Linked DNA regions of Arabidopsis thaliana. The protein of the gene in region 2 interacts with the protein of the main gene of each other region in a biochemical or structural test. Each region holds a gene or a part of one and is shown on either strand. Other genes may lie near its edges.

What was found.
Region 1: the proteins of CA1 (region 2) and AT3G11630 form a complex in vitro, tested with the Arabidopsis thaliana proteins (one study listed by BioGRID).

What each region holds. Positions count from the first base shown.
Region 1 is NC_003074.8:3,670,160-3,674,697, reverse strand, and holds AT3G11630 (Thioredoxin superfamily protein), read right to left. Parts: upstream 2,663-4,538; 5' UTR 2,510-2,662; coding exon 2,303-2,509; intron 1,920-2,302; coding exon 1,845-1,919; intron 1,684-1,844; coding exon 1,602-1,683; intron 1,507-1,601; coding exon 1,427-1,506; intron 1,303-1,426; coding exon 1,177-1,302; intron 1,083-1,176; coding exon 969-1,082; intron 878-968; coding exon 761-877; 3' UTR 539-760; downstream 1-538. Other genes in the region: AT3G11640 (uncharacterized protein), read right to left, coding at 1-197; AT3G11620 (alpha/beta-Hydrolases superfamily protein), read left to right, coding at 2,964-3,034, 3,124-3,197, 3,279-3,350, 3,474-3,502, 3,613-3,663, 3,770-3,820, 3,950-4,009, 4,107-4,189 and 1 more. UniProt on the Arabidopsis thaliana protein: Thiol-specific peroxidase that catalyzes the reduction of hydrogen peroxide and organic hydroperoxides to water and alcohols, respectively. Plays a role in cell protection against oxidative stress by detoxifying peroxides.
Region 2 is NC_003074.8:193,917-199,923, forward strand, and holds CA1 (carbonic anhydrase 1), read right to left. Parts: upstream 4,245-6,007; 5' UTR 3,958-4,244; coding exon 3,736-3,957; intron 3,649-3,735; exon of another isoform or gene 2,932-3,648; intron 2,810-2,931; coding exon 2,748-2,809; intron 2,590-2,747; coding exon 2,440-2,589; intron 2,340-2,439; coding exon 2,291-2,339; intron 2,183-2,290; coding exon 2,066-2,182; intron 1,926-2,065; coding exon 1,872-1,925; intron 1,779-1,871; coding exon 1,693-1,778; intron 1,596-1,692; coding exon 1,490-1,595; intron 1,422-1,489; coding exon 1,263-1,421; coding exon of another isoform or gene 1,257-1,262; exon of another isoform or gene 976-1,256; coding exon 937-975; 3' UTR 510-936; downstream 1-509. Other genes in the region: LSF1 (uncharacterized protein), read right to left, coding at 4,939-5,061, 5,188-5,332, 5,508-5,620, 5,733-5,838, 5,943-6,007. UniProt on the Arabidopsis thaliana protein: Reversible hydration of carbon dioxide. Required for photosynthesis in cotyledons. Binds salicylic acid.

The DNA of each region.
Region 1 (4,538 bases), 3.5 Mb from region 2:
GTGCATGGCTCAATACGAGAGTGGTGGTGATTCTTCTTGCAACACATCAAGAATTGGAAAAGAACCTCTTTACTTGCCGGAGACGGTAAAGATCCGGTGCGGCAACAAAAGATGTAAGAGAGCTCGGCGAAAAGGATGAGCAGAAAGAAGAGTAACACGGCGAGAAGTACGGCGCCGGAGTTGGTGAGGGCATGCATCGTTTGAGAGAGAGTGTGAAAAAATAATGACCGGGACGTAGTGTAGTTAAAGCAGGAGAGTTGACCGGCGTTTACCGGTCATCAGTTGACGGAGGAGGTTGGGTTGATGATGATTAATGATGTTGGAATTTGTTGGCAGGGGGACACATGAGCAACTTTTTTACAGGTAGCATCAGCTTTTTAAGGATCATAATTATCATATAGATGCATTAAAGAAAGAGAAATGATAGTTTTATAATTTCTGTCCTTTGGTTTTTTTACAGGTCCTTTAATATGACTAGCGTATATGGTAGAACAATGGCTTCTCTGTGCTATCAAAGAAGATCACAAAATGGTCTTGATTTTTACCATTAATATGTACAGTGTACATGCTTAGGTAAGTGATCAACTGAATATGAATTTGTAGGCGTAACACAATAAGACTTCCATTAACGGAAAAAGTTTTTTATTATAATTTTGGGGACAAAGTGAGAATCAAACAAAGGATTGTTTTAGCGTACAAGAAAAAAAACTCTGCTCACATATAACAAAGATTGTACCTTTTTGCTATCATAGTAGAGTTTCTAAATAGCTGAGAAGTACTCTTTGCTGAGTTTTGGGTCGGGTTTCATTGACTTCTCACCCGGCTTCCATCCTGCTGGGCAGACTTCATCCGGGTTTTCCTGGATGTACTGTAATGCCTGCAACATTGAAAACGTATTAAGCATACCGGAAATCGAGTGAAAGGAAAGAGCGGTTTTTGGAGTTGTGTGTATTTATTTGTATCTTTACCTGGAGGGTTCTCATTGTCTCATCAACGCTTCGGCCAATACCAAGATTGTTGATGGTGGAATGTTGGATCACTCCTTCCTTGTCGATTATGAAAAGTCCTCTCAGTGCTATTCCCTGTTCTTACACAAACAAAGTTCTTGTTTTCATTTATCCCAAACACTTCGAAAGTTTAAAGGAAGGTAGCCAAGATTTAAAGGCTAACAATTACCTGATCATGGATGAGCACTCCGAACGACTTTGAGATTGATTTAGTGACATCTGAAATAAGGGGATAGTTCAGATCACCAAGCCCTCCAGATTTCCTGTCTGTTTGGACCCATGCAAGGTGAGAGAACTACGAGGACACACAGAAATAAGAATGAATCAAAAATTTGCAAACAGATAAGAACATGGTGATGTCAACCAAGGATGAGGAACTGAGTAAAATGAGAACATAGTAAATGTATAGTGATACTTACCACACTATCGACAGAAACACCTAATACTTCGGTGTTCAACTTCTCAAATTCTGAATGCCGGTCACTGAAGGCAGTAATCTCTAAAAGACATAAGGAAAAAATGAGAAAGATTAGGACTCAAGGATGAGGGAACCTTGGATATTCAATTTTGATATACTTCTCGAGCAATGCTAACCTGTTGGGCAGACGAAAGTAAAGTCCAATGGGTAGAAAAAGAGAATCACATACTTCTTTCCAATGTAATCAGAGAGCTTAACCTGAAACCATACATTCATCAGTTACCAATTAGTTTCCAATCACAATAAGACATATACTCACTAAATAAAAAACACTAAAGACTACTCATTCAGCTTCAAAACTAAACTTAATCTCAGATTAACTAGAAGCAGCAACTGTGATTGATAACTGCTGTAAGTACCTTGATGAACTCTTGATCAAACACAGCCTCTGCCTCAAAATCAGGCGCCTTGTTTCCAACCAGTGGAAGATCATCCTATAATCACCAAATTAAAACTCGTTAACACATCAAATCTAAGGAGAAAGATCAGTCAAATTGACAATCAGATAACCATGGTACTATACCAAAACTACATAGACCTCATCCGAACATACTAATCAGTCAATGAGTATAGCTCATATGTCACTCAATTTCACTTCACCAGAGAAATTAACAACCCTAAACGAAAATGTCACTCAAATTTCTGAACTTTTCGAGTAATCTGCAGAAACACGGTCGCATAACCTATAAATCGTTAACTATTTCCCCAAAACCTATAGGGCTAACAAGTAGGAAGAGAGTGAAATCTATAACAGGCTAATGAATTCAGATTTCAATGACATCGAATAAGAAAAGTATCGACATTTAGATAAACTTACGGCCTGGGCTTTGACAGCAAAGCTCCGACGAGAAGTGGAGCTGAGGGAAGAGCGTCGAGCAAATCCGGAGCGGAGAGAAGCAGATGCGGAAGGAGAAGAAAGGGTTCGAAGGAAAGAAACAGATGGAGAGGAAAGTGAAGACTTTGCTGGAAAAACCCTAGAAGAGGGAGAAGAGATGAGAGTAGTTGAAGAAGCAACAGACGCCATTGCTGCTACACACACTTTGTGACTCTCTGAGTCTGAGCTACCAAACACTCTTATCTATCTGTCAATCACCTCTCTTTGTAGTGGAAGTATGAGGTGGAGATAAGCCTGACGACACCCAAACTCATAAAACGACGTCGCGTTACTCAAAACGAGGTCGTATTACTATTGCTGCAAATATGCGTCTTCTTCTTCTACCTTGGGTAACTCCGTCTCTCCGTTACTTTCTTCCTCCGATCGGTGGTTCAGTTCTCCAAAGTATCTAATCTACTCCTGTTGTTTCAGGTGCATTGTTGTGCTCTCTTCACTTGGTTTACTTTAAAAGGCTTCTTCACTTATTTTGCAAAGTTTTGATTTTTAGTGGTTTCTCTGTTGTCTCATTAATTCTCTCGATCTTCTCCTTTCAAGTGTTGACAGTTCTGAGAGAAGATATAAGTTGAATCGCGTGACCGGAGACATGGAGACTCAAAACAAATTGATGAATGAAACTAAAAGACATGTTAAATCCAGATTGTGCAGAGTTTCTGGGTATTGTTACATTAATCTTTTACGAAATTTTCTAATTTCTTTGACTATAGTTACACTTTTTGTTTTGTTTTTTGTATTTGTGATCAAAGTTCGATGACGGAGATGATGGAAATTCAAGCTGAGAATCCCACATTCCATGTATTGTTTATTCCGGGAAATCCAGGTTTCATTATTATGCTCAAGACTCTTATGCATGCACGTGTATATACTAGTGTGCTTCATACATTGGCTTGTAATTTTTCAGGAGTTGTGTCATTTTACAAGGACTTTTTGGAATCTTTATACGAGTTTCTTGGTGGAAATGCTTCTGTAATTGGTATGGCTGCTCTACTTTTCGAGTTTGATTTCTTTGAGTCCTTAAGATGGAAGCTGTTTATTTCTGAGTTTGAGTTTGTTCTTCTGATCTCTAATGGTGGAGTGGTTTGTTTTATTTGTGTAGCTATTGGGCAAATATCTCACACGAGCAAGGTACGTTAACTTTGGTTTCAGGTTTTACTGTGTGTAAACTTTGATGGTTCTCTTCATATAATATCTTAGTTTGATAGGCTTTCATGATACTTGATTATTTTCACTTTTAGGACTGGGAGTCTGGGAGGCTATTTTCATTTCAAGAACAAATTGATCATAAGGTAATAAAAATCATTTTTCTTCATTGCTCTTGGATTTGAAAGCCTTTAGGTTCTTGTATTGTTCATCCTGTGAAGTTAAGATCTTAATCTGTTAGTTATCATACAGATTGATTTTATCAGACAGGAGTTGGAGAGTGTGAAAGTTCCAATAATATTGGTAAGACTGTCATGTGTATAAGCCATTGACATATTGCTTCTTATGACCAAAATATATATGTCCATTAGTTGGATGGATTTCCAGATTTTCATGAAAATTTACAACTCTAAGCTTAATTGATCTTGGTAGGTTGGGCATTCTATTGGGTCTTATATATCCCTTGAGTTATTGAAGAAATTCTCGGACAAGGTATAGATGGCTTCCTCTAAGAGTAGTACTTTCTCCATCACAATTTCTTTCAGTGCTATGTGATTTTTCTTATATTATTCTCTGGAATGCTTTGCAGGTGGTATATTGCATTGGCCTATATCCATTTTTGACTTTGAACCAACAATCAACAAAGCAATCATTAATTGGCAAACTTGCAGCGTGAGCTTTTGTTCTCAATACGAATCCTCGATAGGAAAGAACCAATCAGTCTTTATTTAGAATGTTGTGAAATCGTTATCATGTTGTGCAGGTCTTCTGTTCTGTCGGCTACAGCAAGTTTTCTGATTGCATCGCTGAGACTTTTACCTATGTCAGCTGCACGGCTGCTTGTATCTAAATCCATTGGAGCTTCATGGTCTGATACTGCTGTTCAAGCTACCTGCACTCACTTGAGGCAGGTATTGATTATCTCATATTCACTGATTTTCTTGGGTTTTACACTTGAACCTAGTTGTATAAAGACTTGAAGATGGCCATTACATCTTCTTTTCTTGATACTTTAAGTTCT
Region 2 (6,007 bases):
TATGTAACATCAAATATAATGTATTTATCAAATCAATGAGTAGATATATATAGTTCATGTCTTCATGAAATCATGGGACTCTTGGTCACTTTGCTACTTTTTCCTCAAGCTTTAGCCTTTTCGTTTTGTGGGTTTAATCTTCTTCGATCGATTTATACCGGATTCATAAACGTCGTCCTTGGACAAAGATTTAAGCCCGTTCAACGGTGCTTTTTCATGATGGATATGTAAAACCTAAACCGAACCTGACCATTTAATTGCCACAATAAAGAATTGCAAACTTGGGCCTAGGCCCATAATGTGTAGGCGGACAAATTTAAACAGCAACATACACAGACAAATTTCAGATGTTTATATTTTATATGACCAAAAAACTACGAAGCTACAAATCTACAGTTTCACTATCCGCATCCGGATCTGTTAGACTGGGATATCCGGGTTCCGGGTACCAGAATTCGACAGTTTTAAGGATTTGGGTATCGAACCCAGAAATTAAAAGATCCAGAGTTCTAGGGTTTGTGAGATATCGAGAAGAGATCGAAATGATTTTGTGACCTTCAAAGAATGATTTTGTGTTTGTGTCGGCAAGTGATAATTAATTGGGCTTGGGTATCAAAAATATTTGGTTTGTTAAATATATGGGCTTTTAGCTAAATGGGTTTCCAAGCCTTTTTATTTCATGTAGTTAATGGTACCGGATCCGGATATCCGGGTTCATTTTTTTCATTATCCGGATCCGCCCGTCCCGGATATCCTTATTTACGATTCAATGATTTTTTTTTGATTTTTTTTTTTTTAGTTTTTATTCAAATTTCTGTCCCCCAAGATTTTAATTCTGTAAAATCAAAAACCAGTTTCATCAAGATCTGCATGTAAACAACAACTTGGTGTTATTGAATTGACAATGTGAAATCGGGTAAGGCTTCAAAGAGTTTCCTACAGCTTCCAATGTAGTATGGTAGCCACATCTTTAACCTACCAAACAACATAGAAAATAAAATCAAACCATAAATACAACCGATTTGATACACAAATAATAAAGACAATTGTTCATAATTAAACCACGAAAGATCTATATCATCTGCTTTTCCTTTTTGTTTTATATATATGAAGAAAGTTGGTAGAGAGGGAGAGATAACTCATCACAGTCAAAGGCACATTACAAATTACATATGGGGTAGATATATATTATATACGATGATAATAATGATGATGATGATGGATGGTCATGATGATGATGATGATGATGGATTGGTTCATACAGAGCTAGTTTCGGAGAGGCCAAATTCAAGTCCCCAAAGCTCAAAAGCACCCTTGACGAAGTCATAGTAGCCTCCCTTCAAAGCAAGTGTTCCCTTCACAAGTCCTTCTCTCACAAATGGATATGTCAATAGGTTTGCTAGTGAAACATTCACCGCCTCCTGCATTTATCAATACATTTATATTGTTATATATGATCAGCTCATCGATCTAACATGTGTTTGTATACCCTTTCACATCGGCCACATTGATCTTCAAAGGCTGAATCTCCAAGTTCTGATATAACCTTTGACTTGGCTGGTAAACAGATTTTGACCCAGTCCTCTATGAAGTCACTGCAATTAACGTATATATTTTTTACTAATCTCATTTAATAAATCCTGTTATTAAAATTGATTAAATTTTAATAAAATGGATATAGAGATATTTTACGTGGAGTTGTTTCCATCTAAGGGGAAAGACATAAGCCCTTTGATCCCACCACATGCACTGTGTCCTATCACCACAATGTTCTCCACCTACAGTAATAAATTCATTCAAAAATTAATTACATGTACTTTGATAAATAATTTTTTTTGGTTAAGGTGTTAATTATTTTATTTTATTTTCACCTTAAGGTGTAAGACCGCGTATTCAATGGCTGCTCCAACGCCACCGTATTTGACCTGCCAATTTAGCAACCCAAAAATGAAAATAGAAAGTGAATGTCACGACTTCTCAAGACAAAAGTCAAGACTCAAGAGGCAGAAGGTTTAAGATAGAAGAGTTTATATCTATAGAGAGACAGACGTGTTAAATTATTAACCTTGTCGAAAGGAGGAACCATGTTGGCTATGTTACGGACCACGAAGGCATCTCCTGGCTGAAAGTCCAGAACGTGTGATGGACACACACGTGAGTCTGAACAAGCAAACACCATGTACTGCACCACCATTCACACACCTTTGTTAATTACTTTTTCTTAATGTTTCATTTTTAATTTATAAGCAACCATGATATACACATAGTATTAGTTTTATTTTTAATTTACCTTAGGACTTTGACCCTTTGCGAGCTCACCGTACAAAGCAGGGTTGGTTCTGCAAATAAAAGTATAAATATGAACCAGTTAATTAATCTAGACCACTTTAGTTGGTGACATAATTAAGAACAAACAAATGAAATAGAAATATATATTACTCGTATTTCTCCTTCTTGAATTTGATGAAGCCCTGCTTAATGGTTTCGACGGGGTCGAAAGCTTTCTTGTCGGATGAAGTACCTGTCTGAAGAGCCGCTGTGATCTGCTCCACCTTTGCCGCTGCAACCGTCTTTAGCTCTTCCTTCTCGCTGCCATATGTTTATATACATTTATAGTTAAATCACAAAAATTATGAATTAAGTAGTATTGAAAAATCCCGTTACTAATTTATAATAATGTTTTAGCTTTTATTAATCTAATCATGTATTAATGTATGCATGCGAATAGAAAAGATGTATATACTTACATGAGAAGCTTCTTGAGAGCTTCAATAGCCTCGTCGTATGCTTCGGTTCCCATCTCTTCACTCTGCAAGTTGGTTGACCAAATAAAATTAGAAGAAAATGAGTACTAGTATATTTTATTGTCGTGAACGTAATTAAGTAGAGAGCGAGTCATGACGTGTTTTAAATGTTGAAACTACAATCAACCTGTTCAGAACTTCATTATACGATAAAGTACAATTTTATAGTCTTTTATATTATGATTTTATTTTCGCTAGTAGGAACCAAATCGGTAGGTTGAATGAATAAATATAGATGGCGACTTAATCACCACTATGCTCCACACGCTCTCATATGGTACATGTGCATACACACACGTCTCAGTTTCATGAATCGTTTTTGTTGAAGCTACTACTAGCAACTTTTCTTTTATCACGTGGATCCTACGTACGTTCTAACTCTCAAAATTTCAAAAATGTCGGATCTTGGGTAGGAATGAGACAACGCTTTTAATATTTCGAGGTGATTTGTTTTTAACTTCACTAGATGTCGAAGCAAGTAGTTTGAAGATCTGTATAGAATAAGGATTGAAAATGAACTCTTCCCTTGCTTGTGATTCACTAATTAAGCAACTTTAGTTTGATTCTTGTTAATTTGGGTAATTCTTTCAGTACCACGCTAAAGACCAAAAGTCAAACACGGATGATAATAGTAAGGATAATATAAGGAAATACCAAGGGAAAAAAAAACTGAAATGTGAAACACATGTGACAGTTTCCAAGATTTGTGGAAGTTTCGTAAGCTAGTTTCTATAGAAGATTTTTGTTCCTATCACTAAAATGGCAATTGCAGAATCTATATAATAATTTCGTAAAATCTTTACAAATTTTAAAATTCTGTAACTTTAGTTTGCTATCTATGTAATGTACCCCTATTATACGTAAACAGCAATGTAAGTTATGTAAGAAATAATGTAGGTTAAGAAACAGTGATGAATGTAAAAATGTATACCCAATAAGGGGCAATGATAGGAGCAGGAGCGGCAAAAACTGGCTCGTTACGGATAAGCGTTGGAACGGAACGGGAAGACGAGGAGGAGGAAGATGAGGAAGAAGAAGAGGCGGGTGGGAGGCAAGCGACGGTGGAAGAAGTACGAAGAGAGAGTTTCTGGAGAGAAGATTGAGAAGGAGAAAGTGAAGTGAGAAAGAAGCCGGAGAGAGGAGCGGTCGACATTTGTTGGCGAAGAGAAGCGGAGATCAGAGAGAGTGAGATATGTGTATTTATAGTTAGAACTAAGACTCTTATGGAAGCTACTATATACTTAAGTGAATAATGGGATTGGTTGAAAGATTTGGGAGTTTAAAAGAACGGAGTCTCATGGTCATGGTGAGGTTGTGGGAACGAGGATAACGAAAGCGATAGCTGCGGTGAATAACAAACTTTCTTCTTTTCTTGTGGATGAGGAATATTAGCTCAAGATTTCAAAACTTTTACGTGCTCTTTTCTTCTTTCAATTCTTTTTTTTATAAAAAAATAAAAGGTCTCAGAAAGGTTTAGAGGATAAGGTCCCTTATCATGAAAACAAGGATCAGCCTCTTTCACTTACCCTCTCAGGCTCTCATCTTAAATAATCACCACCCACTTTAGATGTTAGGCCATTTGTTTGTGGTATACATATAGAAAGATCCATACTTCTCTAGGCTCTCTCTAGACCAGAGATTGCTATTGTATACACAATCTAGAAGATGCAAAGGATTAACATCGATCATGGACTGTTCTACTCTACGAAACAACAGACTCAGTGAAAACTCTTAGCATGAAAATGAAGAGGAAATAAAAAAAATAGAGAAGAAGGGTCTCTCCTCTCAGACCTTCCATGGCCATAAATCATCATATAGGCAACATTAGATAACAGAGTTTCTATTTTCTTCAACATGTTAGGAGAGAGCGAGAGAGAGAGAGAAAATGAAGAAGAAATACAGAGACCAGTAACGCATTAGGGTTGGTTTTGGGACTTATATGTAAAGTGGGCAACGGCGAAACTATGTCGACATTTTTTCATGCAAACACACAACATAATGTCAACATTCTCTTGTCATAGAGTGCGCGAATGTGGCAATGTTGTTCACAACGATATTAGGGTTAAGTACCTCGAGGAATGGATAGAGACAGAAGAATGGATGTAACATTTTAACTTATGCCAAAACAAAACTTCTACGACTTTGGGCATAGTCTTATTGGACAAACTGAGAATGCGATACACCGAGCTGCTTTCGCCAGCCTAAATCTTTCGCTCTCTGTTAACACTCTCTCGATCACCTTTATGATATTTGCATCCTGCAAAACATTGTACAAGTTGCTTCAGGTTTATGTCTTGAACCAATCAGGCAAATATAACGTGGAACATCTTATTCAAGCTTTTCCTATTGTATGAAGAAGAGACTACTGCATAGTAGGAGTAACCTTTCTTGGTTGTTGAATTGTAGGCCTGACGTTAGCAACATCACCAACTACAATTATATTGTTCGTGTTTCCTCGGTCATCTCTTTCCGTTGGTGAAGTTGCTGAATGCCTCCAATCACCGTTGATTATGTACTTGTAGTAGTATCTGCCACATTGTCAATAATCACCAAGTTATATGACACAAATGCATTTTCATAAGTTTCTTTGCAGTTTGCAATCCCTCAAAAGTCACAATTAACATGCAGGGAAGATTATGAGACGTTTTACTGTTGAACCTTAAAAAAAGCATCAACGGGAAAGGTAAAAGAAGCATGACTTACTTTCCCTGTGTAAGTCTAACTTCAGTTTCAAAACGTGGACCGCCTTTGTGCGTTGCTTTTATCGGTTCTTTCCAATTTCCTGTGAAATCCCCAACCAACAATACCTCCTCCCCCTGTAAACCAAGGTGTAACTTAAAACACAGAGGCTAGTTGCTCAACCCTACAGATCACGAGTTCCATAAAGAATTGCAGCAAAGTAATAAAAGCATGTGAAGCAACAGTCACCTCATGTCCATTCCACACAAAGGTTACAGAGTGTGTTGGAGTCCCATCATGTTTGCCATCGTCCACCATAGCGATAAGATCCCATGTTGCCCAAGCAATTGCAGGTCTGTGAAAAAATACATATAACTTGTCTGATGTTTTCATTAAAACAGAAAAGCTATCCATGGTCTGCAGGTTAATGGTCAAGACAGAGATAAGATGGATAAAAACCTGTCAGGTTTGCAAGCGTGCAATCCAGTAACGAAACTATAAGCAGCATGAAGAGAGGTATCAGT